Tamandua tetradactyla: one gene and its partner. The protein of the gene in region 2 binds, or shares a complex with, the protein of the main gene of each other region. Links are inferred from orthologs where the notes say so. Each region holds a gene or a part of one and is shown on either strand. Other genes may lie near its edges.

Region 1 (16,334 bases), about 20 Mb from region 2:
ATATTCAGTATACAATATAGTATTATTATACATGTGAAGACACAGGCAAATGGGGCTAATAACAATAATAATAATAAAAGCAACCGATGTAAACAGACCTGATATGAGCCAGAATTGGCAGATTAAGATTTATTTATTTATTTATTTATTTATTAATTAAAGAAAAAAAAGAAATTAACACAACATTTAGAAATCATTCCATTCTACACATGCAATCAGTAATTCTTAGTATCATCACATAGATGTATGATCATCATTTCTTAGTACATTTGCATCGATTTAGGAAAAGAACTAGCAAAACAACAGAAAAAGATATAGAATGTTAATATAGAGAAAAAAATAATAATAAAAAATAAATAAAAAAGCATAAGACACAAACAAACAAACAAAAAACTATAGCTCAGATGCAGCTTCATTCAGTGTTTTAACATAATTACATTACAATTAGGTATTATTGTGCTGTCCATTTTTGAGTTTTTGTATCTAGTCCTGTTGCACAGTCTGTATCCCTTCAGCTCCAATTACCCATTATCTTACCCTTTTAACTCCTGCTGGTCTCTGTTACCAATGACATATTCCAAGTTTATTCTCGAATGTCGTTCACATCAGTGGGACCATACAGTATTTGTCCTTTAGTTTTTGGCTGATCACTCAGCATAATTTCTCTAGGTCCATCCATGTTATCACATGCTTCATAAGTTTATTCTGTCTTAAAGCTGCATAATATTCCATCGTATGTATATACCACAGTTTGTTTAGCCACTCGTCTGTTGATGGACATTTTGGCTGTTTCCATCTCTTTGCAATTGTAAATAATGCTGCTATAAACATTGGTGTGCAAATGTCCGTTTGTGTCTTTGCCCTTAAGTCCTTTGAGTAGATACCTAGCAATGGTATTGCTGGGTCGTATGGCAATTCTATATTCAGTTTTTTGAGGAACCGCCAAACTGCCTTCCACAGTGGTTGCACCATTTGACATTCCCACCAACAGTGGATAAGTGTGCCTCTTTCTCCGCATCCTCTCCAGCACTTGTCATTTTCTGTTTTGTTGATAATGGCCATTCTGGTGGGTGTGAGATGATATCTCATTGTGGTTTTGATTTGCATTTCTCTAATGGCCAGGGACATTGAGCATCTCTTCATGTGCCTTTTGGCCATTTGTATTTCCTCTTCTGAGAGGTGTCTGTTCAAGTCTTTTTCCCATTTTGTAATTGGGTTGGCTGTCTTTTTGTTGTTGACTTGAACAATCTCTTTATAAATTCTGGATACTAGACCTTTATCTGATATGTTGTGCAGATTAAGATTTTAAAATAGGTATTATAAATGTGTATAAGGAAAATATAGACATAATGGCTAAAGAGATGGTGAATATCAGCAGAGATATTGAAACTATAAAAAAAGAAAAAAGGAGAAATTCTAGAACTTAAATTTACAAATATCTGAAATTAAATGTCCTAGATAGGCCTAGCAGCATATCAGAGACTTCAAAAGGAAGGATTGGGAAACTTGAAGAGAGATCAGTAGACTCTTTAATGTGAAAATCAGAGAAGAAAAAGAGTGGAAAAAAAATGAACTGAGCCCCAGGAGCATGTGGGGTAATATCAAGTAGTCTAAAGTATGTGTAATTGGTGTTTCATAAGGAAAGGAAAGAGAGAGAATGGGCAGAAAAAACATTTGAAGAGATAATGGCTAAAAATATCCCATATTTGGTGAAATATATTACCACTTAAATATCCAAGAAGCTCATCAAATTTTAAGCTGGATAAATAAAAGAGAAGCACATCTATTCACCTTATGGTCAAACTGCAGGAAAATTAAAGATATGGAGAAAATTTAAAAGTAGCCAGAAACAAACCTGGGATAATTGAGCAACAAAATAAATAATGATAATTTTTTATTATAACCTGGAGAATAAACTAAATATTCATGAGTTCATGCTAATAGAAATAAAAAATCAAATTAAGAGAATAAGTCAGAAAGCACAGCACTTCTTTACTATAGAATATCAATTTATAGATACAGAAGAAAAAAGGAAATAGAAAATCACTATTAATCAAACACCACAACAATAACTGTTGCAGTCAACAAACATTGAAGGATATTAAAATTAGTGGGTGAAGTATGAAGAGAAATGGAATATTTACACAGACTCAAAGTATCGCCCCATCAGGTATTCACTAATTACAAAGAGAACAATACTAACTTGACAGTGAAGAAATGTGGCAGATACAACCATGGGATAAAAATTAATAGTATCAGTAATAAGACATATCAATATCACCTACCCCTGATATAATGTACTGAGAAGGCACAATATCATTTTTGTGGTATTCTTGTCCAAAATGCCTCAATCCAATCATGAGAAAACATCAGACAAACCCAAACTGAGTGACATACTGCAAAATAGCTGGCCTGGACACTTCCAAAGTGTGAAGATTATGAGAAAAAAAAAAAAAAGATCAAGGAACTGCCCCCAACACTGAAGGAGACTAAGAGAATGATAATTAAGTGTAATATGAGGTCCTGCATTGGATCCTGGACCGGAAAAAAGACATTCATGGGAAAATTGGCCCAATTCAAATACTTTATCTAGATTTGTTAATAGTATCAATGTCAATGTTCTGAGTTCAATAATTATGATTTGGTGATATCCGATGTTAACACTGGGAATGATCATATGTTAAGGATGTTTGTGTTTCTTTCTTGTCATATATATTTTTAAAATTTAAAAAATTAATAATAAAAAAAGATGCTAACATTAGGGAAAGTTTAGGGAAGGGCATAGGGAAACTCTCTTTAGTATTTTTCCAAGTCTTCCGTATGTGTAAAAGTATTTCAAAATGAAAAGTTAAAACAAGAAAAGCCGAAGGGAAAAGTCAGGGGAACGAGAATAGAAATGATGACTGACTTGGCGTCAGAAATAATAGTGGCCAGAAAACAGTAAAACAACATCTTTAAAGTACTGGCAGGGAGTGGGGAGGGGGCCTATTAATCCAGAAAATCTATATCTAAGAAATACCATCACGAATGAAGGTGATAAAAAAAAAAGAGGGCGGGCCGCGGTGGCTCAGCGGGCAAAGTGCTTGCCTACTATGCCGGAGGACCTCGGTTCGATTCCCGGCCCCAGCCCATGTAACAAAAACGGAGAAACAGAATACAATAAAAACAAGAAAATGTTTAAAAGATGTTTCCCTTTCTTCCTTCCTTCCTTCCTTCTATCCTTCCTTCCTTCTCTCTGTCTTTCCTTTAAAAAAAAAAAAAAAAAAAAAAAGAATGAAGGTGATACAAATGAAAGCCAAGTGTATTTGTTACCAGCAGAACTTAATTACAATAATTGCTAAAGGAAGTTATTCAAGCTCGAGGAAAATAATACCAAATGGAAACTAAAACACAGGAATAGAGAGCATCAGAAATAGTAAACATGGGGGTAAATTAAAAAGGCTATCTTTTTAGCTTCTTATTTACATTATTTGAAAGGCAACTAACTGCTTAAAACCAAAGTAAAATATTATGTTGTGTAATTTATAATGTATGTAGAAGTAAAATATATGATAAAAATAGCATAGCAGATGGGGTTGTGCCAATGGAATTACACTATTGTACAATGTATTTTGCATGCAGTGGTACAATGCTAATTCAAAGTAGATTAGATATGATAAATTGAGGATGCATATTGTAATCCTCAGAGCAACGATATGCACACACACCCCATAAAGAAGAGGTTTAGCTAAATAGCCAATAGAGGGGGAAAATGGATTAATCCAGAAGAAGGCAGAATAGGGAAAACAAATTGAGAAGATGGAACAAGTAGAAAGATGGTAGGCATAAATAAAACCATCAATTATTGAACTAAAATGTAAATGGACTGAGCCATTTCCCTTCCCTGGGGCTGGGAGCTCAGCAAGACTCATTGGCTTGGTTGCTGAGGCTGGAAGCAGTTGAGAATTTGCCAGCATATTCACCAGGGTTGGCCTTTGGTCAGTGTGATTGCTGAGGTCAGTGTCAATTCACCAGTGAACTGCTCTGGTCCTGCACTTTGCTTGTTTTGGGAGGTTTTTGATTACTGATTCAAACTCTTTACTTGTTGTTGGCCTGTTGAGTTCTATTTCTTCTTGATTTAGTTTAGGTGATTATTGTATTTCTAGGAATTTGTTCATTTCATCTAGGTTATCTAATTTGTTGACACACAATTGTTTTTAGCATCCTATTATAAAGCTTTTTATTTCTGTGGGGCCTGATTTTAATTATTTGTGTCCTCTCTTTTTTTCTTTGTCTAGGTAAGGTTTGTCAATTGATCTTTTAAGAAACCAACTTTTGGTTTTATTGATGCTCCCAGTTGTTTTTCTATTCTCTATTTCATTTATCTGTGCTCTACTTTTTGTTATTTCCTTTACTCTAATAACTTTGGGTTTAATTTACTCTTCTTTTTCTAGTTCCTCCAGTTGTGAGTTTAGGTCACAGATTGCAGATGTTTCTTTTTTTTTTAATGTAAGCATTTAAAGCTATGAATTTCCTTCTCAGCAGTGCCTTTGCTGCATCCCGTAAGTTTTGGTATATCGTGTTTTTGTTTTCATTTGTCTCAAGTTATCTTCTTATCTCCTTTGTGATTTCTTCTTTGACCCATTGGTTGTTTGAGTATATTGTTTAATTTCCACACAGTTGTGAATTTTCCAATTTTCCCCATCATTAATTTCTAGCTTTATTCCACAGTGGCCAGAGAAGACACACTGCATGATTTCAATCTTTTAAAATTTATTGATACCTGTTTTGTGATCTAATATATGGTCTATCCCAGAGAATGATCCATGTACACTAGAAAAGATTCTGCTATTGTTGGTGAGGTGTTCTACCTATGTCTGTCAGGTCTAGTCAATTTATAGAATAGTTCAAGTCTTCTGTTTCCTTAATTGATCTTCTGTCTAATGTTCTATCCTTTATTGAAAGTGGTGTATTGAAGTATCCTGATATTAATGTAGAACTCTCTATTTCTCTCTTCTAACCTGTCACTATTTGCTTCCTATATTTTGGGTCTCTGCTATTAGGTGCATGTTTATTTATAATTGTTATATCTTGTTAAATTTAACAAAAGATAAACCACCCAATTTTAAAAATAGACAAAATATTTGAGAAGACCCTTCATGAAATAAGGGTCTATGAATGGCCAATAAGCACATGGACAGGTATTCAATCTCATCAGGGAAATGCAAATTAAAACCATAATGAGATACTACTTCCCACCCCTTAGAATGGCTAAACTTGAAAAAACTAATGATGCTTATTGTTGGTGAGAATGCAGAACAACTAGTACCCTCATGCATTCTGGTAGGTGTCTAAACTTTATTTGTAAGATCCCCAAACTGGAAACATCCCACTGTCTACCAATAGAAGAATGAATAAACAAACTGTGGTATATTAATAAAATAGACTATTACTGAGTAATAAAAAAGAATGAATCACTGATATATGCAACAATATGAATGAATCTCAAAAAACAGTTTGTCGAGGAAAAGAAGCCATAGAAGCACATAATGTATGACCCTATTTTATGGGTTTCAGGAAGAGGCAAACTAATCTGATCTATGGTGAAAGAAATTAGAAGAGTGGTGACCTACCGGGGGTAAGGATTGCCTGGAAGAGGAGACAAAGGAACTTCACGGGATGATGAAAATATTCTTCATCTTGTGCATTTCATTCTATATAAAACTTATCTCATTAAAAAACTAAATAAATAGCAAATTACAGCATAGTCTGCTAGGCAGAGGTGTAACCAGGCTGTGCGACTTGGATTTTGTTCCAGGTCAATAACATTTTAAAGGACATAAAATATCAAACTGGTGATTTTAAAACATTGTTCGTGTTGTTAGGGCTTCTCCAGATGCTGCAAGCTATCACCCCACCCGCCACGGCCGTCTACGCCTTGCCCTGGACAGCTAGAGGAAATGGCTGGAGCTCGGGTCTTAAAGCCCAGCTCCAGGAGCCCCACTGGAAATGGCTAGTGATGCTCTGCCTTGATGTGTGCTACCATTAAGATGTTTCCTGATGCTATGGGAGATCTGAGGAGGGAGGGCCCACAGCTGCAGAGGGTCAGGCTGGAGATGGCGGTGGTAGGGCTAGATTACATGGAAGAAATGACATACACCCTGGAAGTTGAATTTTCCAGGTGGAAAAAGAAGAAAGCGGCTCCTGAAAGGCACGGGGTTTGTCTTGCGCTGGGGTAAGAGGAAGGGTGTAGGTGTGAGTCAGAGCTGTCGTCAGGTATCTTGTTTGTCTCAGGAGAGGGCCGGCAGTCTGAAAGCCTTAGGGAAGCCCCGGAGCTGGAGACTGTGAGTTCTTCTGTGAACGGATGCCTCAGGCCTCGTTTCCATTCCTATCAGAGCCTGCCCGGGACCCAGGCCTAGGGGCCTCCATAGCATTTTATCTCTTTTTCCGTGGGCAGTCACCAGGAATCAAACCCCGGTCTCTAGCACTGCAGGTGGGAACTCTGACACTGAGCCATCATTGACCGCCCCCCACTCCACACGCCTTTTTTTCCATAGCATGTTTTCATCTCTGGGCCTCTAGAGGTTTCCAGCCAGAGTTCTGACCCAAGGACTATGGGGTAGGATTCAGGGGAAGAGGTCTTTGCTGAAGACACAATAAAGCCTGTGGATTTCAGTTTGGAAGCAGTACCCTGATTGTGTCCTGAATGATTCATAGGCACCTAATAGGTGCAAGCATTTGTAGGGAGAGGCCCTTTATAGGCCTATTATTACTGCTTACACACGTTTGATCTCAAGCAGTTTACAGTTTGCAGGAAAACAAAACTAACCCAAGAAAAAGTACGGAGCTGGTAGTCAACAAGTGTCTGTTAATCAAATGAATGAAAGTGTGAATGAAAAAAAAAAAAGCTGATGGTACTAATGCAAAGTGTCTCAGGAATTCAGGCAAAAGAGATCAGTGCCAGGTGACTTCCAGGTGTTAGGAGAGCAGCAGGCTCCCACCTTTTCTGACAATACCAAGTGCCCTAGCGCGGACTTCTCGGACCTGGAGGTCTGTGGAGGATGCCCGCACGACCCTCTCCAGCCCTCAGGCCGACCGGCGGATCCACGTGGGCGGAGGCGAAGGGTCGAGATAGCAGCCGCAGTTTCCCACCGCCGGCCCTGGGTTCTCGGTTCAGAAAAAGGCCGGAGGGGAGGAAGCCGGAGTCGGCGGCCCGCCCCGTTGCGTCCCACCCACCACGTCCCCTCCCCTCCAGCTACGGGAAAAGCGGCCGCGGGCGCCACTGCTCGCTGTGGGGCTGGCGGGCGCGGCTGAGGCGGAGTGCGGTGGCAGGGGGACGGGATGAGAGCGCGGCCGCGGTCCTGGCCGCTCTGGGCCACTTTGCTGGCGCTGGGGGCGCTGGCGGGTGTCGGCGTCGGAGGTGAGTGAGGCTTCCCCTGGGCTCCGCGTCCCGCGTCCCGTCGCAGCCAGATCAGCACTTGGAGAGCTGAAAGCCGGACTGGCGCGTCCCTCGCGTCTGCCCTCGTAGTGCGCGGCGCGGGCTGCCATCCCTGGAGCCCGGAGCTGGCCCTTTCACGGGCCGGCGAGGGCAGGGTGAGAGACTCGCGGTGTTTGGAGGTGGGTCCGCTGGACGCGGAAGCCGTTAGCTAGGTTGGAAGCCTTCCCGGGGCGGCTCCGGAGTGAGCGGTGCTGTGGGCGCATCTCCCGGGCGCGCGTTCAGCCTCCGCTGCGCCTTTCACCGCTGGTCCCCGACCTCTAGAGAGAAGACCCGCTCTGGTAGCCGGCGAGGTGGGCCTTCCCGACGCTGCCCCTCCGCACTGGCAGAGACATGTGGTTGTAACTTCTTGGATGGAAATGGATGTGTACGGGCGGATTTTCCAGTTACTTGACATTCCTGTTTCTCCTTGTGTTAGCCTTTCTTCCAAGTGTCGTTACAGCCGCGGGCTCGTTTCAGAGCAGAATGAGGGTCCTGTCCCCAGCAGGGTTCCTGGCGGGCTGCGGGACTTCTGCTTCTGTATCAGAAAGCGGACCTGAAAAACTCTTGATGTTTTCGGGGAGCCACACCAAGGATCTCTGGGATGGTTTGAATCCCTAGTTTTGCCGCTCCCGCTGCTGAGCGCACCATCAGCTGCCAGGGCACTCGGTATTCCGCCGCATTGGTGCTGGGGAACGGGTGGAGGGACCCGGAGTGCGGCCCGTGGTGCTTCCGGGGCCTGGTGAGCTCCCAGGGCGAGCTCTGGCTCCAGGTCCGTCTAGGACGCATGAGTGTGCATGCCTGTATTTTTTATTTTTTTTTTTTTGCAGTTTTTAAAATTTTTTTTTATTAATTAAAAAAATTACAAGAAAGAAACAAACATTCTTAGTATATGCTCATTCCGTTCTACATATATAATCAGTAATTCACAATATCATCACATAGTTCATGCCTGTATTTTTGAGAAAAGCAGCAATTCTCTTTGGAAAACAATTTAGACCATATGGAAGGGATAACAACAACAAAGTACGAACTGATAAGTCAATTTCAAAGGTAACTGTTCAAATTATTGGTGAATGCCTTCAAGACTTATATGTGCAGACAATATATATAAAAGGAGCATACTGGATAGGGCAGCAGCATCTTGATGGAGGAGTATGCTTGATACATAGGTATAGCTGAAAGGTCCCAGGTCATGAAGATTAAAAAAAGATCAACTGATGTCCTCAGCTTGCAGTGAACAGCCTGATTGGTGACTGTCATGCAGAAATGTGAATCCCTGAGATGCTGAGAAATTATAACTTTGGCTCAGATGCTGCCAGCTGCTGATGGGAGAGAGGGGTTGGAGAAATCCACAAGCACAACTCAACTGTCTCATGAGATGCCTGCTTCCATGAACCTAAAACATCTTTTGCATCCACAGCTTCTCATTTCTGAGTGTAACCATATATTTTTTTTTTACAGTTTTAGAAGTAAAGAGGTAACATAAGATAGTGCCTAGCAAGATTCTTCACTCAGTGTTACTGAAGATGAAAGTGTCTTCTCTCCCCGGGTGTATCTTGTGCTGATCTAGTACACATGATTGTAATGACCCATATGGAATTCCACTGCATTGGCATGCCTGTTTGGTTGGCAGTCCTTTGCATGAAAGGTCCTTTAGGAGATCTGTTCACAGATTCATCGTAGTGAATTGGGTGCCTCCCAGAAGTGGTGGATCCAGCTCAGATGCCTTCTGAGAGGCAGGGTAGTGTGGTGGTTGAGAGCAGGGGCTGTTGAGTCAGACCTCCATCAAAAGTGCCCAGTAGAGCAGTTTCTGTTGTATTTGCACCCCTCACCCGGGTGCTGGCGGCAGTGTTGCAGGTGTCATCAGATTCCAGGGGAAGCAGGTGGTGGGCTAAGAGTAGGAGAGTTCTGTTGGGACAGTTTTGAGGGGACACAGAAAGAGCTGGTGGTGGCATGGAGACTGTCCCAGACTAGGAGAGTCTGGTATGGGGAGAAGAGAAGTTTGAGGGTAGAGCTGCATTTTGGATTTTATGTATAAGAATGATCTTTCAAACTTCACCCAAGCAATATTGGATTTTGTGGTTTCCTCATATTTAGGTCTTTATTTTAACCTAGAACCTGATGGATAGTAAGTTTTGTTTGCTCTCACCATCTAAGTTGGTTGATTCTGAGTTGAGGTGCTGATTTTTTCTGTTGAGTTTATATCCCAGCAACTCTTCAACCGAATCTCTCTGCAGGAACCTTCAGGTGAGGGGGGAGGACAGCTATGGTTTAGAGTCGTTGGATACGGTTTGATTCTTGACTTGCTTCTTATTGACTGTGTGACCCTGGAAAAGTGACTTAATCGCTTGGGGTTTCAGTTTCCTGTTTGTAAAGTGGCAGAAACAATACCTTGATGATTACGTTGAGTAAATGAGATAAAGGCACAAAGCAAATATTCAATAAATGGCAACTACTGCTATCATTATTCTTCCGTTCTGTAGAATGTACCATGTAAGGGTGCAAGAGCCATTACTGTTCCGGACATGAGTGCAAACCAGCTCCCAGAACGAGCCTGACAGGGTCCTTTTCCCCACACTTATGTGGAAGGGGCCTCCTCTTATTTCAGTCCATTCCTGTTGGGTGCTTGGCATATTTCAGCTATCTAACCCAGCAAGAACCTACAGGAGGGGGTGAGGACAGCAGAGGCTTTATCCAGGAGAAGATTTCAAGTCCTGACTCTGGGAAAAGAGGAAGATACAGGAGTCCATAAAAGTCCAGGTTCCATGAAGACAAAGACGTGTATTTATGGTCAACATTATCTCCAGTGTTGGCATATAGGCGGCAAAATAAACAGATGTCTATGGAGTGCTACGAAAAGATGTTGAGGGGTGTGGGCTTTACTTTAAGAAGCCTGATATTTGCACATCTTCAATCGTATAAGATCCTAAGTGCTCTAACTGGACACTGTAAAGTATTAGAATACACCTGAGACCATGAATTCTTTGCTGCGCGCTATTGTACCGTTTGGACCACTTAGGATGCTGGAAACTCAGTGGACTCCCTGTGAATTATCTTCCTGTTTTCCTTCCTGGGAGGAGCAAGGCAGGAGCACGTACTCCCCTGGACCTGCCTCAAACCTTTGAGGGTAAGGGCAAAGGTGAGGCGTGGGGGAGGCCTCCTGGGGACAGCACAAGATGGGGTGAGGAGGCCACAGTGAGGAGGGGAAGTCTGGATATGACACTGGAATTTCCTAATAGAAATTCCTCCTCTGCAACTCTGCACCCCACTAATGACTTCCGGTTATCATCTCCTCCCATCCCCAAGAATCCTTCTGCCCTTGTTGGCAGGAAGAGCCAGGAAGTGTGCCCACAGGAACCACAACTCATGAATCAGCAGACAGATAATTAACTGGGAAGTGAGTGAGCAGCTTCAGGGCTAAACCGCTTGCCTTGGTCCAGCCCTCTCTGCTGCCCGCAGAGCTGGCTTGCTGCTTCACCTCATCGCCTCTTCTTTCCCTGAACCTTGGCCCTTCTGAGTGGGAAAAATATTATACCTGGTGGAGCTCAGGTCACTAGTGGAAATGAAGGTGGGAGCAGGGAAATGACATAGCTCAGGGGAACCGCTTATTTCTGCTGAGTAAAATGCTGGCATTTATGTAAATGTGAGGCTCCTCAGCAAAACATTTATAAAATCTGCCTTTCTCTCCATGCACAGCGTATCCCCAGAAACACTTTTTTTTAATTACAAATTTGCTCTATTGAGGTATAATTAACAATCAGTAAAAATTTGTCCTTTTTTAGGCATATAGTTCTATGAATCTTGACAACTGTATATTTGAATATTTCCATCACCCAAAAAAGTTTTGTTAAGCCCCTTTGTAATTAATCCCTATCCCCACCTCCAGTCCCTGGCAACACCGATCTACTTCCTGTCCCTATAGTTTTAGCTTTTCTAGAAAGTCATATATGTGAAATCACACAATGCTGTCTCTAATCCTGGCTTATTTCATTAGCGTAATTCATTTGAGATTTATCCATATTGCATGTATCACTAGCCTGTTCCTTTTTATTATTAAGTGGCATTCCATTGTATGAATGCACTACCATTTACGTATCCACTAATAAATTGCCTTTTTTGACAATTAATGAAGTCACTATAAACATTCGTGTATAGATTTTTGTGTAAACATGTTTTATTACTTTTGAGTTAATAACCAGAAGTGGGATTGCTGGGTTTTATGGTATGTCTAACTTAAAAAAAAATTGCCAAACTATTTTCCAAAGTGGCTGTCCTGGTTTGCATTCCCACCAGCAATATATGAGAGTTTCAGATACTCTGCATTGTTGCTACCACTTGATATCGTCAGTTTTAAAAAGTTTAGAGGGCCGTGGTGGCTCAGCAGGCAAGAATGCTTGCCTGCTATGCCAGAGGACCCAGGTTTGATTCCCGGTGCCTGGTCATGTTAAAAAAAAAAAAAAAAAAAAACACTGTAGAAAGTTTAGATATTGTAATAGGTATGTAGTGATATCTCATTATTGCTTTAGTTTGCCTTTCCCTAATGGCTAATGATATAGAGCATCTTTTATGTGTTTATTTGCCATATGTGTATTTTCTCTGGTAAAAAATTTGTTCAAATCTTTAGCCCATTTTTGTGTGTGTGTGTGCTGTATGGAAGGGGTAACATTTCATTCTTTTTCCATGTAAGTATCCCCTTATTGCAGCAGCACCATTTGTTGAATTTTTGTTTGGTTGGTTTTTTATTTGTTTTGTTTGTTTGTTTAGGAAGTGCACGGGCCGGGAATCAAACTCAGGTCTCCTGCAAGGCAGGCAAGAATTCTACCACTGAACTACCTTTGCACTCCCCTTTAGCCCACTTTTTAATTCGATATTTATATCCTTCTTTTTGTGCTGCAAGAATTTTTTTTTTAATTCTTCTTTAGTTTTTAAAGGCTTTTTATTGTGTAATAGAACATCTATACAAATAAAAGAAAGAAGAAGCAATAATTTTCAAAGTACACTCTCAGAGTTTGTTATGGGTTTCCGTTCTTCTATTTCAGATTTTTCCTTTTAGCTGCTCCAAAACACTGGAGGCTAAAAGAAATATCAGTATAGTGATTCAACAGTCATAATTGTTTGTTAAATCATATTTTCTCTGTTATATCTCCTCCTTCTCCTTTGATCTTTCTCCATATCTATAGGGATCTTTAGGCAATACCCATTCTGACTTTTTCATGTTGAGAAGGGGTGCTGACACCAAAGAATAGGAGAATGTAATTAATTGGTAATCTTGGAAAGGCTTGTCCCTCTGGGTTTCAGGATTTATCTGGCCTAGGAACCCTCTGGAAATTATAGGTTCCAGGAAAGCAAACTCAGTGCATGCAACTTTTATAGAGTCTCAGCTCGAGCCCCAGGTGTTCTTCAGGGTTAACAGGAATGGTTTTGGTTGGAGTTTGACAAACCATAGTAATGATCACTATCTAACTGAAACTTACATAGGAGTAGCCTCCAGAATAGCCTCTTGACTCTATTTGATCTGTCTTAGGCACTGATGCCTTTTTACGCTTCTTTTCCCCTTTTTGGTCAGGTAGGTTGTGTTGATCCAGATTCATCCCTCAGAGTTATGATCCAGGTTGTCAGGGAGAGTCTCATCCCTGAATGTCATTTCCCATGTAGTGGGGAGGGTAATGATTCTCCTTGCAGAATTGGGCTTAGAGAGAGAGAGAGAGAGGCCACATTTGAGCAACAAAAGCGGTTTCTTGGAAGCAACTCTTAAGCCTTGTTATAGGTAGTGTTAGCTTTTCTATTACAGAAATAAGTTTCATAAGGGCAAGCCTCAAAATCTAGGGCTTGGCCTATTTTCTTGGGAGTCCCCAATGGTTGAGGGAGCGGGTACCTGGGGTTTCCCAGATGGGAAAGTTTAATAGTTGTTTTTTTTTTTCCCCTTCAGACCCTCAAGGGACTTTACCAATACTTTTTAGTTATCAGCCCACCATAGTCTGAGATATTTGTAATTACATTACAATGTGTAGACGTTCAAGGCTTCGTTCCCCGTCTGGACTCTAGGAGTTTGGGTTGTTTAAATTAGCTACCCAGACAGGTTGATTTAAAAGATGATATATGATATACATATATATATGATATATATATCATCTTTACCTTGTATTCTGATTTGCCTTAGTCCCAGGCAGATTGGCTTCTTTTTTTATCTCTAATAGAGGCCTGATATTGTTTTGATTATTTTAACTATTATTGTATATAGCTATGCTAACTTGCAGGGCTGCAGCACTCCATTTCTGGGTCACAGAGTTACTCAAAGTTCTAAGGAAATACCAGCTGATACACATTGTGCTGGTTTGAAACGATGCATGTTTCCCCTAGAAAAGCCATGTTTTAATCAAAATCCCATTTCATAAAGGTAGAATAATCCCTATTCAACACTGTATGCTTGAAACTGTAATCAGATCATCTCCCTGGATGATGTGATTTAGTCAAGAGTGGTTGTTAAACTGGATTAGGTGACAACATGTCTCCACCCATTTGGGTGGGTCTTGATTGGTTTATTGGAGTCCAATAAAAGAGGAAACGTTTTGGAGAATGGGAGATTCAGAGAGAGCAGAGAATGCTGCAGCACCACGAAGCAGAGAGTTCACCAGCCAGCAACCTTTGGAGATAAAGAAGGAACATGCCTCCCGGGGAGCTTCATGAAACAGGAAGCCAGGAGAGAAAGCTAGCAGATGACGCTGTGTTCACCATGTGCCCTTCCAGATGAGAGAGAAGCTCTGACTGTGTTTGCCATGTGCCCTTCCACTTGAAAGAGAAACCCTGAACTTCATCAGCCTTCTTGAACCAAGGTATCTTTCCCTGGATACCTTAGAGTGGACATTTCTATAGACTTACTTTAATTGGGTCAGTTTCTTGGCCTTAGAACTATAAACTAGCAATTTATTAAATTCCCCCTTTAAAAAGCTATTCCATTTCTGGTATATTGCATTCCAGCAGCGAGCAAACTAGAGCACACATATAGCTCAGTGTCTTAGAATCTAGAAATACACTTATAAGTTCAGACCTAAATGTGACTGCTATGGAGGCTTACAGTCTAGGCTGCAATTTTCATATAAGTATTTTCTGAAAGAGACCTTAGCATATTTGTTGTTTTGTTTCTGGCTTATTTTTCACAGCACATTGTCCCCAAGGTTTATTCAGTTTGTTGTGTGCCTTTTGACATCCTTCCTTTTTGTAAGTGCACTGTATTCCATCATATAAATGTATCATAGTTCACCATTCTGCTTCTCAGTCATTGTACTCTTTGGCTCCTTCCATCTGTTAGACATCATGGATGATGTCCAGGATAAAAAAAACATGGCTTACAGTATCCTCACTTGGTTGTACAATCAGCAGCACTCTCAATTTTAGACAATTTTCGTTGGTCCATAGTGACAAGGAACCAACAAACAGAGCGTCACCAAATATCCCATCAAAACTATCCCTTATAACTTTTTCCTCCCTCCCAATTAGTTGCCTCTGGTAGTACTGTGGTACTGTTAGTGTCTTTCTGTTAAGTGTTGGCCATCGCATGCATTTTTAGTTTCCCCCCATACCCCTTGTGCCGGTTTGAAAATATATATTCCAGAAAGCCATCTTTTAATCCTGATACAATCTTGTGGAGGTAGCTGTTTCTTTTAATCCTAATTTAATACTGCAGGTTGGACACTTTTTGATTAGATTATTTCTGTGGTGATGTGGCACCCCCAATTGATTAGATAGGTGGGTCTTGATTAGTTTCCTGGCGTCCTTTAAAAGAGGAAACATTTGGGAGAGTTTAGAGCCTACAGGGTGAGCGCCGAAACTTCAGAACAGAGCTGATACAGATGCCGACACTTGGAGAACAGAGACACAGATGTTTGAAGATGCTTGGGGCCTGGCAGACGTTGCCATGAGATGTTAAGCAAGTCAGAACCTGGAGAGAGCCAAGGGAAGCCAAGAGATGCAGGCCAGTCCCAGAAAAGCAAAGTGAGGAGCCCCCACAAGAACAGAGGCTGAAAGCAGTAGAGCCCAGGAGCAAGGGACTAGAAGATGCCAGCATGGGACTACCCAGCTGACAGAGGTGCTTCTGATGCATTGGTCTTCCTTGAATTAAGTCGTTCTAGCTCTGGTATATTGCATTCTGGCAGCTTGCAAACTAAAACGCTCTTTTACTATTGACTCTTTGTCCAATAATAAACCTTTGAAATAGTTCATGTGAGAACTTATTTATAATTTTAGATTTAAAATTATACAATTTTGTATAATTGTATCAGTGGGATTAAATGGCGCTATACATTGCCTTTCAATTATATTCACCTTCAATATGGCAATGTTATTTCTAACCCCACTAATTAGTTACCATCACTTTTATCCATTCCCTTGCATTTAAGTTCAAACTCTTTGGGTAGCCTTTCCTCTGTCTCTAGCTTTTGTGTTACCTCTAGGTCTGCTGTATTCTACAGTGTAACCTCTGAGATTACCTTTACCAGAGTCATAATAGTGAAGTTATATAGTATCTGTCCTTTTGTGTCTGACTTATTTCACTCAGCATTATGTCCTCAAGGTACATCCACATTTTCATATGCTTTGGGACCTCTTTTTGTCTTACTGCTGCATAATATTCCATCATGTATGTATGTGTACACACACACAAACCCACACACACATACATACCACACGTCGTTTATCCACTCGTCTGTTGATGGACACTTGGATTGTTTCCATCTTTTGTCAACTGTAAATAGTGCTGCTGTGAACATCAGTGTGAAAATGTCTGTGTCACTGATTTTAGCTGTTCTGGGTATACATTGAGTATTGGTCTTGCCATGCCCTAGGGCAACTCAATATTTTGTTTTCTGAGGAATCGTTAAAC
Region 2 (16,933 bases):
CCTGTGGAATCCAGCTTGCTACCTATAGCTCCAGATCTTGAGCACTTCCCCAATTATGCACCTCCCAGTGGGGATCCTAGCATTGAGTCAACAGATGGGGCTGAAGATGCCTCACTGGCCCCTCTAGAGAGCCAGCCTATCACCTTCACTCCTGAGGAGATGGAGAAGTATAGTAAGCTCCAGCAGGCCGCACAGCAGCACATCCAGCAACAGCTTCTGGCCAAGCAAGTAAAGGCCTTTCCAGCCTCAGCTGCCCTGGCCCCAGCTACTCCAGCCCTGCAGCCCATCCACATTCAGCAGCCAGCCACAGCCTCTGCCACCTCCATCACAACTGTTCAGCATGCCATACTGCAACATCATGCTGCAGCAGCCGCTGCTGCCATTGGCATTCACCCCCACCCTCATCCTCAGCCTCTTGCCCAAGTACATCACATTCCCCAGCCCCACCTGACCCCGATTTCGTTGTCTCACCTTACTCACTCAATCATCCCTGGCCACCCTGCCACCTTCCTCGCTAGTCATCCAATCCACATCATTCCTGCCTCAGCCATCCATCCTGGGCCCTTCACGTTCCACCCTGTCCCACATGCTGCCCTCTACCCAACTTTACTTGCCCCACGACCTGCTGCAGCAGCTGCCACTGCCCTTCACCTTCACCCACTGCTTCATCCCATCTTCTCAGGTCAGGATCTACAGCACCCCCCTAGCCATGGCACATGAATTGAGTGATGGGAGTGCAGAAAGGGCTGGGGAAGGTGCTTGGGGGTGTTGAGCCATTAATACCAGCAAGTAGAAGCTGGAGTGGGCAGTGTCTTGACAGCCAAAGAATTGAGTTTTGGCTTGCAGGGGTGGTTTTAGATTTGAGGTTTGCTTGAGTTTACTATCAGGGAATTTTTTTTGTTTGTTTGTCTTCCTTTCCCCTTTCCTGTTTGTCCATCCCTCTTCTATGTTTCTAAGCTGGGAAACACCAGTAAGTACTACCCACTGCTCTGCAGCAACATCTCCAAACTGTCAAGTTTAGATACACCCTCCCTCTACTTTTTATCTTCTGCTCTTCCCTTCTATAAATTTTTAAACATTTTCCTCTTCTCTGGCCAGCGGGTAGTCACCAAAACATTTGCTACAGACCCATCTGGTCCTGCCTTCTCAGTGCCACAGGGAAGCCAAACTGTCCTCAGGTGGTGAAAGCACCACTGCTTTGGGTCAGTGTCTTTGACTGTCTCTTGGTGAAATTACACCAGGTGAGGTGGAAAGGGAGTCTGATCTGGAACCAGATGTTAATCTGGCTGTAATTCTATCCACTTCCCATACAGAGAGCCACATGTTTGGCACTGTGTCCTCATGTCCCCATCCCAAAAGAGGCATTTGCATATCCCAGAAAAGGAGATCCTATCATGAATAGAAGCTATGTGGAACATGGAGTCACCATGTGCTTCCCCAGAGAGGAGCTCATGTGTCTGAAGGGTATTTTTTCTTATGTCATGTTGATGTTTCCTTCTTAATTTATAGGATTTTTTTTAATGTAAAAAATTGCACTGAACTCTAAACGTAAATGCTGCTTTTTGTAGCTCATATATAAAAGGTTCCATATTTGTAGTATACTGCAATAATATTTTTTACATCCAGCTCTTTAAGTGATCCTTGTTCTGGTGGCTTTGTGTAAATATGTTTGCCCTAGTTGAATTAAGAAACTTTAAAGGTTATAAAATGAAAACAAAAAATAAAGCATTTGTTTTCTGCTAGATGCAAAAATGACTAAGCATGTATATTTTATCAAGGTCATGTATTTTTTGAAGTTATGAACTATAAAAATGTTTAAAAAAAAAAAGAAACATTGTTTAACATTTTTTGCTGGGACAAATGTTAAGTAGTTTGCAGTAAGTGATGCCCCCAGCACTGGGATTTTTGAGCTAATGGGCAGCAGTCAGCTGGGGGTGTCAGAGAGATGTTCATTTGCTTTGCTATTTTATACAGAGAAAAGATGAACCCCACAGGAGGAGGGGGAGATTCAGGAGCTTTATTCTGTAGAAGCAGTGGGATTCAGAGTGATTGTCTGGAGGACCCTGGGTTTCCTGGGTGCCTTATTCCAGGCAGTCCATTTGCCTTCCTAATACTTAGCCCCCTCTGACAATTTTTTAAATGTGCCTTTTGGGTTGGCTAGAAACTGAAGGAGTAGACTGGAGGAAAATAGAATCGGGACAGTTTTCTTCCTCCTTTTTTGGGAGGTGAGCACATTTATAGACACTTCAAATTATTTTGCTTCATTGTTTCCATGTCTTCAGTCCAGCCTAATTTGAAAGGTTCCTTTTTTAATTTCTTCCCATGACACTGACCAGAGAAATTATCACCACAGTCCCCCCAGGTTATCAGCTCTAATTAATACACTGACCCAAAGGTGCTTTGCATTTCAGGTCCCATCTCCTTGGGTGTAGTTAGCAGTTCCCTCTTTGGCATTTGCCTACCAATTCCTGTGTCTAGAATTGGTTGGGTGGTCACCTGACAGCAAAAACAAAATCTTAACCTGGGCCAGGGCTCTGTGTTCCTGTCTTTCTTCTCATATTACCAAAAGAAAACATTTTTTGAGTTTATGAGAAGCAAGTGCTAGGTAAATAATGCCCTTAACTGAGCCCCCTACATGTAGTTCAGTGCTTTTCGTCTGATTCAGAAATATCACTTTTTAAATGACTAGCACTGGGAAAAGGAAATCATCTGTTTGAAGAGAAGGGACTCATTTTTCTTTGCTTTCAGCCCATGTAAATATTTAAATAATACAGTATTAACATTTCTGTGCTGCTTCTCATTAGCTTATAGATTGAGCCATGCGTGGCTGCCTATCTGCCTTCCTGGGGGCAGTTTTCTTTAACTCCCAGAATAGTGATTTTAAAACTTTAAAAAAAAAAAAAAAAAAAAGGAAAAATGAAATAACCTATCCTTACAAGCATTGCAGACTGTATTTAACTTTATCACATATGATAGAGATATATATGCTGTAAAATGAGGGAAGAGAACTTTCTAATAAACCAATGATTTGTGGAAACGTAGCAGAGTCTGTCATGATTGTTGCCCCATCCACTCAAGGTGGGAAGAGATGGAGTTGTGTGTTACAAATAATATCTTGCTGGAAATGATCAGGGAATAGGTTCTTGTGAACAATTTGTTTGTAAGGTTTGGGATTGTGCCTCTCAAAACTCAAGACTTGGGCGGGCCACGTTGGCTCAGCAGGCAAGGACGCTTGTCTGCCATGCCAGAGGACCCGGGTTCGATTCCCGGTGCCTGCCCATGTAAAACAAACAAACAAACAAAAAAACTCAAGACTGCCCAAGTTAAAGGGAAAGATTAAAACTGGAAGGAAGTAATAGTTAGGTTTCTCTCAGTCTTGGGTATCTTGGAATGTGTACCTCTTGTATACTCCCTCTTTCCCAATAATGTTGTTCTATTTCCTTTTTCTCAGATCTATAATCTGTGTAGTAGATAGTGTGGAGTGTGGGTGTTTACTAAATGGGTTTGGAATTTCCAGCTGTGACATTTAGTATTTTGGATGAATTTAAGGGCATTAGGATTACAGGATTTCACCTGCCCAGCCTTTGCTCTCCCAATGAAGTTCTATATACCACACTTTTATTCCTCTACTCTACCTTTTAATACCACTCTTAATGCCTCACAGTCTCTGCCTCATATAAGAAAATATGCCCTGAGTGTTAGCAGATGAAAATCCTTACTCTTCCATATCAAAAAATCACAAAAGAGGCAGGGAAAATTTAGCATGGAAAGCTAATATAGATTTTTAGTGATAAATTAGATTCCCCTCTCATCCTCAAGCCCTTGAAAAAGGAATACCATGTCCATTTCTTTCTTATTCTCTCATACAATTTGTGTTCTACCGTCCACCAGAGAGGAGCTTTTTGACTTGGCTCTTGAGTTGGGTGCTTGGATATACCTATTTTCCTAAAAAGGCAAAGATCCCTTCCCAGAAGGAAAGGATATTAGAAGTTGAAAATTGATTTTTCTGAGAGCAGCAAGGCGTCAACTAGAAGTGACACTTGCCTTCACAGAGTATGCCATATACAGGTCTGTGCAGTTACCGTATTCTGACACCTTCTTCCCAGCCCCTTGGGCTTGAAACATATGAGTACTCCCTCTTCTCCACCCTTTGACTAACTCAGGCCTTGTCAACCATTTTCATTCTCATTTATAAGGGATACCTTCACCTGCCCCTTACCAACTCATGCCTGAATTATTGTAACATCTTCCTGGCTGGTTTTCTTGACCCTCGGATTGAATTCCCTGCCCCATGTAAACATGCTGCTTTTCCAGAATCTGAGTGCAATTCTTTTTGTATTTGCTGTTTACTAGTAAAATTATAAGCTCTGAGAGGCCAAATACTCTCAGAGTTATTAGTGTGTGTTACATAGAATTGAGTAGATATTAACATTTTGATTATATATTTAAGATATTCTACTGCTTCTCTAATAAAAAAAAGGATACGAACATAATCAAATGTAAACTGAGGATTATACATCAAGATTCATCAAGGGAACATTCAACATTTCTATTTTTTTCCCATCATATAGGTCAGTGCCAGGCACATAATAGAAGCGCAATAATTGTTGGCTAAATGAAGCCTTAATTGAACTTTAAATTCAGTGAGGGATTCTAGGACTCAGGCTTATGGGGTGAAAAAATGGAAGCAGTGTGTCAGCATTCCTCTGCCTACTATCTCAGAAGGAAGGTCAACCCAGGTCTGACACCAAAGAAACACCCATGAGGAACAGAATCCATACTGAATAGCAAACTCTCCCCACATCTGTTCATCTGCCTATTTCCAATTCTAAATGGTACTCCTGTCCTACCAGCCAGCCAGGCACCAAACCATATCCAGTTAACTGCTTCTGTCATCTCTGCACTCTCTTTTGTTCCTGACATTAGTACCCTGGTTGAGGCCTCATCACCTTTTTATTTTTTTGATTTTGTAAACTATGTTAACATATATAACTCAAATTTTCCCATTTTAACCATATTCAAATGTACAACTCGGTATTACTATATTCACAATATTGTGCTACCATCACCCATATCCATCACCCCTACTTTTCATCGTTCAAACTCCTCACCCGTTAATCCATAACACTCTCTTCCTGCTCCTAGTAACCTATAACTGTGACGTTTGTTTCTTCTAGATGTTTCATATAAACAAGATCCCACAGTATTTCTCTTTGTGTCTGACTTATTTCACTCAACTTGATGTCTTCAAGGTTCATTCATGTTGTAGCATACATAAATTTATTTTTACAGCTGAATAATATTCCAGTGAGTATTTATACCACATTTTGCTTATCTGTTCATTGTTGATGGATGCTTGGATTGCTTCCACCTTTTGGCTTTGTGAATAATGCTGCCATGAACATTGATGTGCAAGTATTTGTGTGAGTCCCTATTTTCAATTCTTTGGGATATATACCAAGAAATAGGGTTGCTGGGTCATATGGTTATTCTGTTTTCAATTTTCTGAGGAACCACTGAACTGATTTCCACAGTGACTACACCACTCTGCAGTGCTACCACCTATTTCTCTGCATTCTCATCAGCTCTTATTATTTTCTGTTTTAATAAAAGCGATCCTAGTGGATATGAAGCAGTATTTCACTGTGGTTTTGATTTGCATTTCCTAATGACCAGATGTTGAGCATCTCTTCATATATTTGTTGGTCATGTGTATATCTTCTTTACAGAAATGTCAATTCAATTTTTGGCCATTTTTAAATTGGGTTGTCTTTTTTTGTTGAGTTGTAGCAGTTCTTTATATATTCTGAATATCAAACCCTTATCAGATATATGATTTGCAATTATTTTCTCCCATTCTATGGGTTGTCTTTTCATTTCTTTGATAGCGTCCTTTTTGGCATTCAAATATTTTTTGATGATCCATTTTATCTATTTTGTTGTTATGGCTCATGCTTTTGGTGTCATATCTAAGAAATCACTACTAGACCCAAGGTTATGAAGATTCCTCCCTATGTTTTCTTCTACGAGAGGCATCATCACCCTTACCCCAGAAGTTTGTAGTCACTACCTATTTGGTCTTTCCACTAAGCCTTTCCTTTTCCAGTTCCTTCTGTCCTCAGGCAGCCAGTGAATCATCCAAATTAGAGCTTAAATGATCAGTGTGTCTCTGTTTCCTGTGTTAAATTCTTTAGGATTCACCATCTCCTAAGGATTAAGGGGCAAATTCCTTAATGTGGCATTCAAGGACCTCCACTGATTTGATCCCAGTCTTCCTTTCCCTCCTCATGTTCTAATCTACCCCTTTAAAACACCCTATGCTGAGTCAATACTTGCTTTTCCCTATAATTGACCTCTGTGTTCTGTTACTCTGCTTATGTTATTCCCCGTTCCTAGAAACCCCTTCATTCTCTAACAAAAAGCAGCATAGTGTAATGGTTAAGAACATGGACTCAAGCAGAAACCTGTTTGAATTCTAATTTTGCTACCCATTAGCTATGTATACTTGGGCAATTTACCTAAAATTCTTCGTTACACTTTTTTGCATCTGTAAAGTGGCATAATAGTACCTACTTTATAGGGTTGTTATGAGAAACATGATATAAATATCATCATCTAGGAGCATTATTTACAATTGCAAAGAGATGGAAACAGCCAAAGTGTCCATCAACAGACGAGTGGCTAAACAAACTGTGGTATATACATACGATGGATTATGCAGCTTTAAGACAGTAAATTTATGAAGCATGTAATAACATGGATGGACCTAAAGAACATTATTCTGAGTGAGACTAGCCATAAACTAAAGGACAAATACTGTATGGTCCCACTGATGTGAACCGACATTCGAGAATAAACTTGGAATATGTCATTGGTAACAGAGACCATCAGGAGTTAGAAATAGGGTAAGATAATGGGTAATTGGAGCTGAAGGGATACAGACTGTGCAACAGGACTAGATAAAAAAACTCAAAAATGGACAGCACAATACTACCTAATTGCAATGTAATTATGTTAAAACACTGAATGAAGCTGCATCTGAGCTATAGTTTTTTTTTGTTCTGTTTTTTAATATATTTTTTGTATTTTTTATTTTTATTTTTTCTCTATATTATCATTTTATTTCTTTTTCTGTTGTCTTGCTATTTCTTTTTCTAAATCGATGCAAATGTACTAAGAAATGATCATACATCTATGTGATGATATTAAGAATTACTGATTGCATATGTAGAATGGAATGATTTCTAAATGTGTTAATTTTTTTTTAATTAATAAAAATATCATCATCTAGGCATGATTGAGGTTTTAGGCACAATCTAAACTTTTCAAGGCATGCTTTACTGTTCCTCTGCTGCAGTTGTGCATTCATGTTCATTGGACTATACAAAGTATATCAGTACTACAGTAATTACTCAGTTGAGGACAATGGGAGGTTGGAGAGAGACTAGAGGGCTGGGTTAAGTATTTATTCGAACAAATATCTTGTATTCCTACCATGAACTTGTCTCTAAGAATTCAAGCATTGAAGAATGCTCAGACTAAAGCTCAAGGATTCTTTTTTGTTATAGCATAACTTACATCTTTCAAATGGAAAAACAATAGTATCATTTACAGTATCTTAAGATAAATTGCCTCTGAATGGGAGTTTCCTTTCCAGTACTTTGAGGTCCACGCAATATATCTAGAAAATTTACAGTTCTAGAAAATGAAGACTGCTTAAATCAAATGGGGATCAGGAGAGGGCCTATTGTTTTCTTTTTGTAGTAAAACTGCTGAGAGAGTTGATTTTTTTCTTTAGACATCATTCGCCACCAAAGCTCTTCCAGAAAAACTAATGATATATATAGAGAGAGCTCTTGAGTCTACCATTCATATTAACTCCATATTAATTTTTTTAACAAATGGGAGTGCTTCTGAGTATTTATGTCCACATTCTGCTTTAAGACTGTGTATTTAATTTTCATAAATTATTCTTGGAGGCCCATTTATCATCCCTGTCAATCTTGTAAATTCATGCCTTCATCATCTTCTAGACCCCAGCTAACTATGCCACTCCTGTTACTTTTTGGCCTTCTTTGAGTTCTTTCAGAAGTCAGAAATTGCAAGGGACTTTTTCTCCCGAGTCCGTGGTAACTGCCATCTTGTGTTGCTGTCACTCTCAAACTTTTACCCTAGTGAAAGATGGTATTTTGAGTTATGTGCTAAGGTGGTGAGGGAAAGGGAAGTTCTTAAGGGATTCCAGAATAATACAGAGTAGTTGGGGAGGATAAAAGAATGGTTAAGTTTGATCTGAAGAGAAACATGAATCAGAACTCCGAAAAGTGGCTATGTTCCTTTACTCCTTGGTACTCCTGGCCTCTGCCTCTCATTGGTACTCCTGTCCTCTTCCTCTCATCTATAAGAGATGACCTTGCCTTTCTTCTCAGAACTCTTCCTTTTCTTCCCATATGTGATTCCATGTTTGCATCTTCAGCCTAAGTACATGCTTCTGTTCAGTCTGTTTATGGTTCTTTCAGCTGTACCTACTACATGTTGGGTTCTTGACTAAGCCCTGGGGCTTCAGAAGGAAACTTGCTCTCCAAGGACTCATGGACCCAATCTAGCAAACAGATTGTAACTAACTGGAGTGATCAGCACTGTGCCTCAGACTCCAGCCTGAGGAGTCAGGGGAGGCTTCCTCTAGTCAGTGACCCCACCAGAATCTTCATAGTTGGACAGAAGCTCTGTCACCAAAGAAGGCACTGCTTCCACCTGAACAACTGGTACAAAGTCTCAGAGTCTGTGAACCAGAATACCCTGGAAGACCACTTTCTCCCTTGCCCAAATGCAAGATCCATTTACCAACCCCCTCCCCAGTGTTAGCTTCACTGCTGTGGCCACACTGAGACTTGCCCCAAGGTGGAGAAGTGAGGAAGCTGCTGCCTCAATATAACTGGCTGAGGCTGCCCAAGGTCCTGGCAGGAGGAAGTGGATAAGTACCATATCTAAAAAGAAATGGCATCCTTAGGCCGTATCAGGGACAGCAGTTTCCTTATTCCTTCCCCAACTTCTGGCCAAGTCAATGTGCACAGCAGTACAGCCAGCTAGGGGAGAGTGGGTGAGGTGGGGACAGGATTGTAGGATGCAAAAGCTGTAGTAAAGAACTGTGGGCTACAATGGAGGTGTACACACTAGTTAATTCATGATTGCACCATCCCAAGCAGAAAGTGATGACTGGTAGAGAAGATAAGATTCAAAAGACAGTTAAGAGGTAGATCCAACAGGACTTGGTGATAAATGATAATGGGGGGCGGGTAGGGGGAGTCATAGCTCTCAGCCATAAGCATACTCCCCCAGGGTGAGGTCACCCCCACTTCCTGGCAATCCTAGGGACCAAATGAGTGCCTCTAGGGCCTATAGCCCATTGCCCTGCCCACTGCTTGGCAAGTTATTCTGAGTTTCAGTTTGATAAGAAAAGCTTCTGTGGTGAAAACCAAAAGGAAGTGAAAGAGCTGGCCCATTTCTGCTAGAAGGTTGTGGGAGAGAGAAGATGGCCAGAGCTTTGTATCCACTGCAAGCCCTATGGCTCCTAGAGTGGGCACAGCTGCTCTTGGGACCCGGTGCTGCCCCTCCAGCCTCGGCCTTGAACTTGGATCCACTGCGGTTCACCCTTTATACAGGCCCCAATGACAGCCACTTTGGGTTTTCATTGGACTTCTACAAGGACAGCCATGGGAGGTGAGCCATGGGAGAAGTCTGGGTGTTGGGAAAGAAAAGGAACCCTCTACTCTGTCACTGCTTCTGTGGGTTTCGAGTTCCCCATTTATGATGGAGGTTGAACAAGATGACATTGGAGTCTGTTCAGGCTGAGCTATAGACAGGAATGCTAGGGAGGGACTGACTCAGGTGAGGGTGGCAGGGAGGAGGTTGGTACTGAACCCCAGCAAAAACAAAGGAAAGACGAACGTTCCTGCCTTCTGTTTTTTCCCAAGGTTAAGTTGTATGACCTGCTCCATGCTCACCCTTTGGAAAGACAGAGAGTAGCATATGTCCTAAATTGACTTGCAAAACTGTAAAATTATCTACTCACCCCAATCCTCAAAATTATAGATATCTGAAAAGAAGCAATGTTATTTTAAGGTTGGGATTGTTTTAAGGTTGGGATTAAATAGACTGAAGTCAGGGAATCTTCAGGGAAGATTAGGGAACTGGCTCATTGTCTTAATAGCTTTACAGTGAATAGTAACTTATTGTGGTGGAACTGGTGGTGCCCATCTTTGGAGAGGGGCAATGGCAGATAGCCTGCAAATGTTCTTGATGGAATTTTTTCTGTTGAAGAGAGCTAATTCTCCCGAAGTCAAGTCCCCATTGCCAAGGTGGCTCACATCCAATGACTGATGAATTCAGGGTGTGGTGGTGGAGTGTGTAAGGATCTGGCATTCTAGCCTCAACCCAGGACTTTTCTGTAGGGTTTGCCAGAACTCCCCAGGAGAGGGGAATCAGGGGACAAAACTGTCATTAGGTCTGCATCTCTGCTTAACTCTCCTCCTCCCACTCCTGTTTCCCCTCCACAGGCATTGATCCCAGGGCCACTTCTTGGTAAATATTCCATGTGCTTTATATATATGCTATTTCTTATATATACTATATATAGTATATAAAATTTAGATACAAAATTTTATAATATATATATCATTTTATTGAGAACCTTTATGTATTTGGCTAGCACAATGCTAATTTATTTCATTTACCCCTGATAGCTTTAATTGGTTGGTATTATCTCCATTTTACGTGAGGTCACACTCACTGAAAAGTTAAATGACTGAGCAAAGTCTCACAGTAAATGAAGAGTTGTGATTTGGACCTAGATCTGCTAAGGGTCCTCAGCTCCATCAGCCCTCCCCCCTCCCATCTGTACCTAAGAGGCATTCTGGCTTCCCTCATTCTCCTTTACCATTGAAACCAGCTCTCAAGAAAAGATGTGGTGACAGTGTAATAGTCTCCAGACAGACGTTCTAGCAGCATGTATTTGAGTGGGACAGGTAGGGGGAGGTGGGGATGGTGTACAGAGCTTGGAAAGTCTTTGACAGTTGGGTTATCAAATCTCTTGTATTCAAATCAAACTGAACTGGTTCAAATCTTACCCTAGGCACGCGATTTGCCCTCGCTGGGGGTAATTTTTCACTGTCCATAAAATTAAGAGGTTGGCCCCCACAGTCTGGAAGGTTTTGTTGAGGCAGGATGGTCCAGCGCTGTCCATGGCATCCTGCCCTTCTGGGCAGTGCACCCAGCGTGGGCACGGGGGTCCGGGGCACGAGGGAATCCACACCGCGCTCACCCAGCTCTCCTGCGCAGTGTGGCCATCGTGGTGGGCGCCCCACGGACCCTGGGCCGCAACCTGGAGGAGACGGGCGGCGTGTTCCTGTGCCCCTGGAGGGCCGAGGGCAACCAGTGCACCTCGCTGCCCTTTGACTTCAGTGAGTCACAAGCAAAGGGGGCAGGGAAAGGGGTCAGAGGGGGTGTGGATGGTGGGCTTCAGGCCCTCACCCCTTTCTACTCTCCAGGGGATGAAACCCAAAACATAGGCTCCCAAACCTTCCAAACCTTCAAGGCCGGGCAAGGACTGGGGGCGTCGGTCGTCAGTTGGAGCGACAACATTGTGGTGAGCACCGCGGGACGGGGCACTGGGAGCAGGGACATCTGGGATAGGATGAGAGCGAGGCGGATCCCGAGCCGAGCGCCCTTTCCCAATCTCCCACGGCCCTACCCCAGGCCTGCGCTCCCTGGCAACACTGGAACGCCCTAGAAAAGAACGATGAGGCCGAGAAGACGCCGGTAGGGAGCTGCTTCGTGGCTCAGGTCCAGAGCGGCCGCCGTGTGGAGTACGCTCCCTGCCGGGCCAACACGATGAGCAGAGTTTACGTGAAGAATAACTTCAGTAAGTGCCTCCGCGGCGTTCCGTTTTGGCCCGCCCACTGCGGTCATTCGGCCCCGCCCTTAATTTGCTCCCTCTGTCTGAGCTCCGAGGCCCGGCTTTCGATCTGGCATCACCCAATGGCCCAGCTCCTAGTCCAGCCTCGCCCCCACGCCGCTTCAAGGCCAGGCCTCTGCACGCCACATGGTCCCGCCCCATGTAGCTCCGCCCGCGCCCTGCCCCTGGCGGGGCTTCCAGGTCCATCCTTTCTCTGACCCTTCCTTCTTGCGTCCTCTAGGCGGAGACAGGCGCTACTGTGAAGCGGGTTTCAGCTCCGTAGTCACCCAGGCGAGTAGCTTAAGAGCCGCGTGGGGCCAACCCCCGAACAGGGTCCCCTCTCACCTCCAGGGCTTCCTTTTCAGGCTGGGGAGCTGGTACTTGGGGCCCCTGGCGGCTATTTTTTCGTAGGTACGTGCTCCATCCCACCCGTTACACTTCCGTCCCTTATCGCGGCTCCGTGCCTCCGGGAAACCACCACCGGCGTCTAGACCCCCCACTCCCTGTCCTTCCGGTCCTAGGTCTCCTGGCCCGCGCTCCACTCACCGACATAGTCTCGAGTTACCGCCGGGGCACTGTCTTGTGGCACGTGCCCACCCAGAGCTTCACCTTCGACTCCAGCAACCCAGAATACTTCGATGGCTACCGGGGTAACTCTGGCACCGCCCTTCCAGGCTTCCCAACAACCTCAGAGTCACCGCCCATCCCAGCCTGTCAGGTCCGCCCACCAACCCAGACTAAACAGCCCTACCACCTGAGGCACCTCCGCCCTCTGCGGCGGTAGTTCACCGGCAGACTGCCTCACTTCCCTGCGTCTGTCCCTTCACGTCGTGTACCCGCAGCGCGCAAGTCTGGGCCTCTAGATGGCCTCAGTTTCCCATCTATATAATGCCGGGTTTGGACTGGGTGGTCTCTGAATCTTCTCCTTCCTCGCCCTTGGCCTTGTCCCTCTTCACCGCTCCCCACCACCCGGAAAAAACTAATTCGCTCTGTGTCCTCAGGGTATTCGGTGGCTGTGGGCGAGTTCGACGGGAACCCCAGTACCACAGGCAAGAAATCCCCGTATACAAGACAGGGGAGAGGCTTGGGGCGCCCAGACCCGGGAGCAACACCTCTAGCCCCGCACAACATCTTCCCTGGGTGCAGCATAGGGAGTGGAAGGAGGGTAGTCACTAAAGCTCATTGGCTGGGCCCGGCTCTCCCCAGAGTATGTCGTCGGTGCCCCCACCTGGAGCTGGACCCTGGGAGCGGTGAGTGTCCCTTGCCCTGCCACTCAGCAACCCGAAGGCCACGATTCCAGATTTCTTGACAATGTCCCGGAAACCTCTTGTCCTTTCTCACCTGGAGCCGGAGGCCGAGGTGCTAGGCGGGAGTGATGTCTTTGCGTGCGGTCTCCCTGCAGGTGGAGATTTTGGACTCCTACTACCAGACGCTGCACCAGCTGTCTGGAGAGCAGGTGGGGAAGGCTGAGACTCTAGGATATGCTGCCAGATAGGAAAGGGTGATGTCGGAGAGGGGGTGTCAGGTACCAGGCCGCGAATTAAGATGTCCTTGTCTTCCTGCAGATGGCTTCATATTTCGGGCACTCGGTGGCCGTCACTGACGTCAATGGGGATGGGTGAGGATGGAGGCGGGCCACCTCACCCAGCTGAGTCTCAAGTCACCAGTGGCCTGCGACGCCCTCACTCTCCTCCATTCCTTTTCCTCACCCCCATGTGATCACCCAGGCGAGGCGGGAGAGTGAGCTTGGGCCAGATTTCACCCTGGCCCCTAGCATCCCCACCCCCCACCCCACGCAATGACCCTCTGGCCCGCAGGAGGCATGACCTGCTAGTGGGCGCACCGCTGTACATGGCGAACCGTGCTGACCGCAAGCTGGCGGAAGTGGGGCGTGTGTACCTGTTCCTGCAGCCTCGTGTCTCCCACCCGCTGGGCACCGCCAGTGTCCTGCTAACTGGTACACAGCTCTATGGACGATTTGGCTCCGCCATCGCGCCCCTGGGTGACCTGGACCGAGATGGCTACAACGGTGAGGATCCAGAGGAGCCCAGATTGCTGCAGAGAGGTTAACAGCAACTACACAGAGCTTAGACTTGACCTCAGAGCAGTGGGAGCCAGGAAGAGCTTTAAACAAGAATGACTCTCTCATCTATGTGCTTAGACAAAAGGACACCAATTAGGATGTGCTTGCATTAGTCCAAGCAAAAAATGATGACCATCTGGAGTTGGGTTTTGGCTTTGGAGATATAGATAAGGGCAACTGCCCAGATAGAGAATTTAGATTACTAGCACTTGATGGGTAACTAGAAGTGAAACTAAGTGAAAGGGAGGAATTGGGTGGGTGATAGAGCCCTTTACTGCTTTAGGGAACTCAAGGCCACGCCACAGGTTTTAGGGTGAGGAGTGGGATCCATGGGTCAACTCTGAACTTGTTCAGCTTCACAGGCTTGAAAGCATTAGGTGGAAATATCTAGAGAATAATTGCATGAAGCTTCTCCACTTCCATGAGAGAGGTCCGAGTGGGAGATAGAGATTTGGGGAGGATGGATGAGGTCTCCAGAAGTCCGTGAAAGACAGAGCCCCTGGGAGGAAGAGCATTTAGGGAACTAACAGAGGAAGTGAATCTGGGAAGGAGACAGTAGAGTGTCCAGAGAGGTAAGAAGGAAACCAGTAGATCTGATGGCCCAGACCAGAGGAAGAGAGCACTTTAAGCAGAGGAGTATGGGACTATTGACACTGTTGAAAGGTACAATTAAATGGGACTGGAGAAATATCCATGGGCTTTAGCAAGTGAATATGACACCGGTGACAGTGAAAAGAACCATTTCAGGGCAGGGTAGGGGCAGAGGCTGGAATGCCATGGGGCAAGACGTGAATGGGGGTGAAGATTTGGAGGCAGCCGATGTAGACAGCTCTTTCAACCAGTTTGAACATAAAAGAGAAAAGATAATCACTGAACGGAGGGAGGGTCAAGGGAAGGTTATTTTAGTTTGGAAGAATATGGAGTAGGTTAATGTGAAGGAAAATTATCTTGCGGGGAAACAAGAGGGGGAGATGATCCAGAGAAGGGTCCCTTCAAAGCGGGGGTGCGTCTCTCTCAGCAGGGCGAGAGGGGTGAAGGAGACATGCATAGTTTAGGGTCAAATAGGGGAAGGAGGAAGGAAAGTGGGTGTGGATTAAGAGCATAACAGTTTTGACTGCTTGATGTGGGGACTCCTATGGCTTCTTTTTATGAAATACGTGATGACGTCCTCTGCTGGAGGAAGGAGGGGTGGGAACTTGACAGAATGGAGATTTGAAATATGTGCTGCACAGGCTGAGACATGGAGCTGACCAGAAACCCCTGATTGACTGCTAGGCAGCCCCAAGGTCCCTGGTGAAGGTCAAAGACCATAAAATCATGGTGCCCCAATCTGCACTATCTCTTCAACAAACCTGGGTCCAGGTGGATATTGACCTTGCTCAAGGTGGGGTCAGGTCAGACTTGCCCAGGCCTGGCAGTGGGACAAAAATGCTGAGGATCTAGCATTCCCAAATGGTCAGGGAATAAGTGAAGAGATGAGGAAGTCAACAGATGGGGAAAGAGTAGAGGCCAAGGCTCTGGAAACATGATTGTGGTCAGAAGTGGGCTTTTTGGGTGAATTCTGCATGACTCAATCAGAAAAAGCAATAAAGACATGTAAGAGAAAAAATAACTGCACAGGAAAAACATACCATAAACAAAGACAGAAGACAAAGGAAAGGCAGTTGTAAAATATACCAAAGATCTTAATACCCATCATAAGCAAAGACCTCTTATAAATCGGTAAGCTTATGATAATTAACTAACCCTCACCCGAATGGAAAGTTAGTAATGATGTTACTCCCACTGTGGGGCTCTGGGTTTGTATGGTGGAAGTGGAATGGGGCAAAGAACCCTAGGGGTGAGGGGGTCAGGATATAATATGTGTTTGTTACTTAATCTTCTAAGATGAAGTTTTCTCATTTCAAATGGGAATAGTAATGCCTAACTTTCAGGATTAGATGAGAATCATATCAAATTTATTTACCTCAGTAGATGGTGAGAGTTGTTACTGTTTTTGTACCAATTCCTACTTTATGAGTTTCTAAACCCCTGGATTGTAAACTCCTGGATGGCAGGGCGGTCGCCTCCTTGACTGGGACTTTTACACCCCTCTCCTGGATTACTGTGGGTCTGTCCTGAAAAGAAGCTCGGATAAATTTCACAGGTCTACCTGCAGAGATTGTATAACAGCCCCTCCCTTCCCGTTACTCCTTCCAGATGTGGCAGTGGCTGCCCCCTACGGGGGACCCAGTGGTCGGGGCCAGGTGCTGGTGTTCCGGGGTCAGAGTGAAGGCCTGAGCTCATTCCCATCCCAGGTCCTGGACAGCCCCTTCCCCACAGGCTCTGGCTTTGGCTTCTCCCTTCGAGGTGCCACAGACATTGATGACAACGGATACCCAGGTGCCTCTGGACTGCCTCCAGCTGGACAAGAAGGGCCCTTGGGCATTAGCTGGAATTTCTGGGAGACAGTGCCAGGGGCCCATGCCTGATTTGGGGACCCGCTGAGAGCTCTGACCCATCAGTGAGGCTGGGATGCCAGGGGTGCCAGGTCAAACCTCCAAGAGGGGAATTGGTGTGGGGAGCCCAAGATGGGGAGCCCAAGATGAGATGACAACCCCATGTCCTCCCTAATTGCCAATGTTGACACACTCCTCCTGCCCCCTCTTCCCCAAATATCTATAGACCTGCTAGTGGGAGCTTATGGGGTCAGCAAGGTGGTTGTGTACAGGTGAGCACTGGATTCAGGGATAGGGTGGGGGAGGGGCACAGGATGTGGCAGCCCACACCATCAGGGGAGGCCAGGCCAGGAGCAGCCACAGTGGCAGACCTCCCTATCCCATCAGGGCTCAGCCGGTGGTGGTGGCCAAGGTCCAGCTCCTGGTGCAAGATTCACTGAATCCTGCTGTGAAGGATTGTGT

Evidence for each region.
Region 1: the proteins of ITGA2B (region 2) and ITGB3 are in contact, whole or in part, in a cryo-EM structure (PDB 8GCE), measured with the Homo sapiens proteins. The link is inferred for Tamandua tetradactyla from reciprocal best matches to the Homo sapiens genes ITGA2B and ITGB3. Residues at the interface, in NP_000410.2 of Homo sapiens: Gln49, Phe52, Arg72, Trp141, His143, Asn145, Glu152, Ala153, Glu154, Lys155, Pro157, Arg184, Phe191, Tyr197, Glu199, Phe202, Pro217, Tyr221, Phe222, Phe262, Asp263, Tyr265, Tyr268, Thr290, Trp293, Thr294, Gln315, Met316, Ala317, Tyr319; in NP_000203.2 of Homo sapiens: Ser188, Pro189, Tyr190, Tyr192, Ile193, Ser194, Pro195, Pro196, Tyr204, Asp205, Met206, Arg242, Asp243, Pro245, Lys279, His281, Ile282, Ala283, Leu284, Asp285, Arg287, Leu288, Ala289, Gly290, Val292, Gln293, Pro294, Asn295, Asp314, Tyr315.

The regions. Positions count from the first base shown.
Region 1 is NC_135332.1:2,961,663-2,977,996, forward strand, and holds the start of ITGB3 (integrin beta-3), read left to right. Parts: upstream 1-7,298; 5' UTR 7,299-7,320; coding exon 7,321-7,399; intron 7,400-16,334. UniProt on the Homo sapiens protein: Integrin alpha-V/beta-3 (ITGAV:ITGB3) is a receptor for cytotactin, fibronectin, laminin, matrix metalloproteinase-2, osteopontin, osteomodulin, prothrombin, thrombospondin, vitronectin and von Willebrand factor.
Region 2 is NC_135332.1:23,082,128-23,099,060, forward strand, and holds the start of ITGA2B (integrin alpha-IIb), read left to right. Parts: upstream 1-7,953; 5' UTR 7,954-9,529; coding exon 9,530-9,717; intron 9,718-11,334; coding exon 11,335-11,456; intron 11,457-11,543; coding exon 11,544-11,641; intron 11,642-11,751; coding exon 11,752-11,917; intron 11,918-12,191; coding exon 12,192-12,241; intron 12,242-12,315; coding exon 12,316-12,361; intron 12,362-12,471; coding exon 12,472-12,600; intron 12,601-12,951; coding exon 12,952-12,999; intron 13,000-13,156; coding exon 13,157-13,200; intron 13,201-13,352; coding exon 13,353-13,406; intron 13,407-13,515; coding exon 13,516-13,568; intron 13,569-13,767; coding exon 13,768-13,979; intron 13,980-16,232; coding exon 16,233-16,415; intron 16,416-16,697; coding exon 16,698-16,743; intron 16,744-16,858; coding exon 16,859-16,933. Other genes in the region: GPATCH8 (G patch domain-containing protein 8), read left to right, coding at 1-720. UniProt on the Homo sapiens protein: Integrin alpha-IIb/beta-3 is a receptor for fibronectin, fibrinogen, plasminogen, prothrombin, thrombospondin and vitronectin. It recognizes the sequence R-G-D in a wide array of ligands.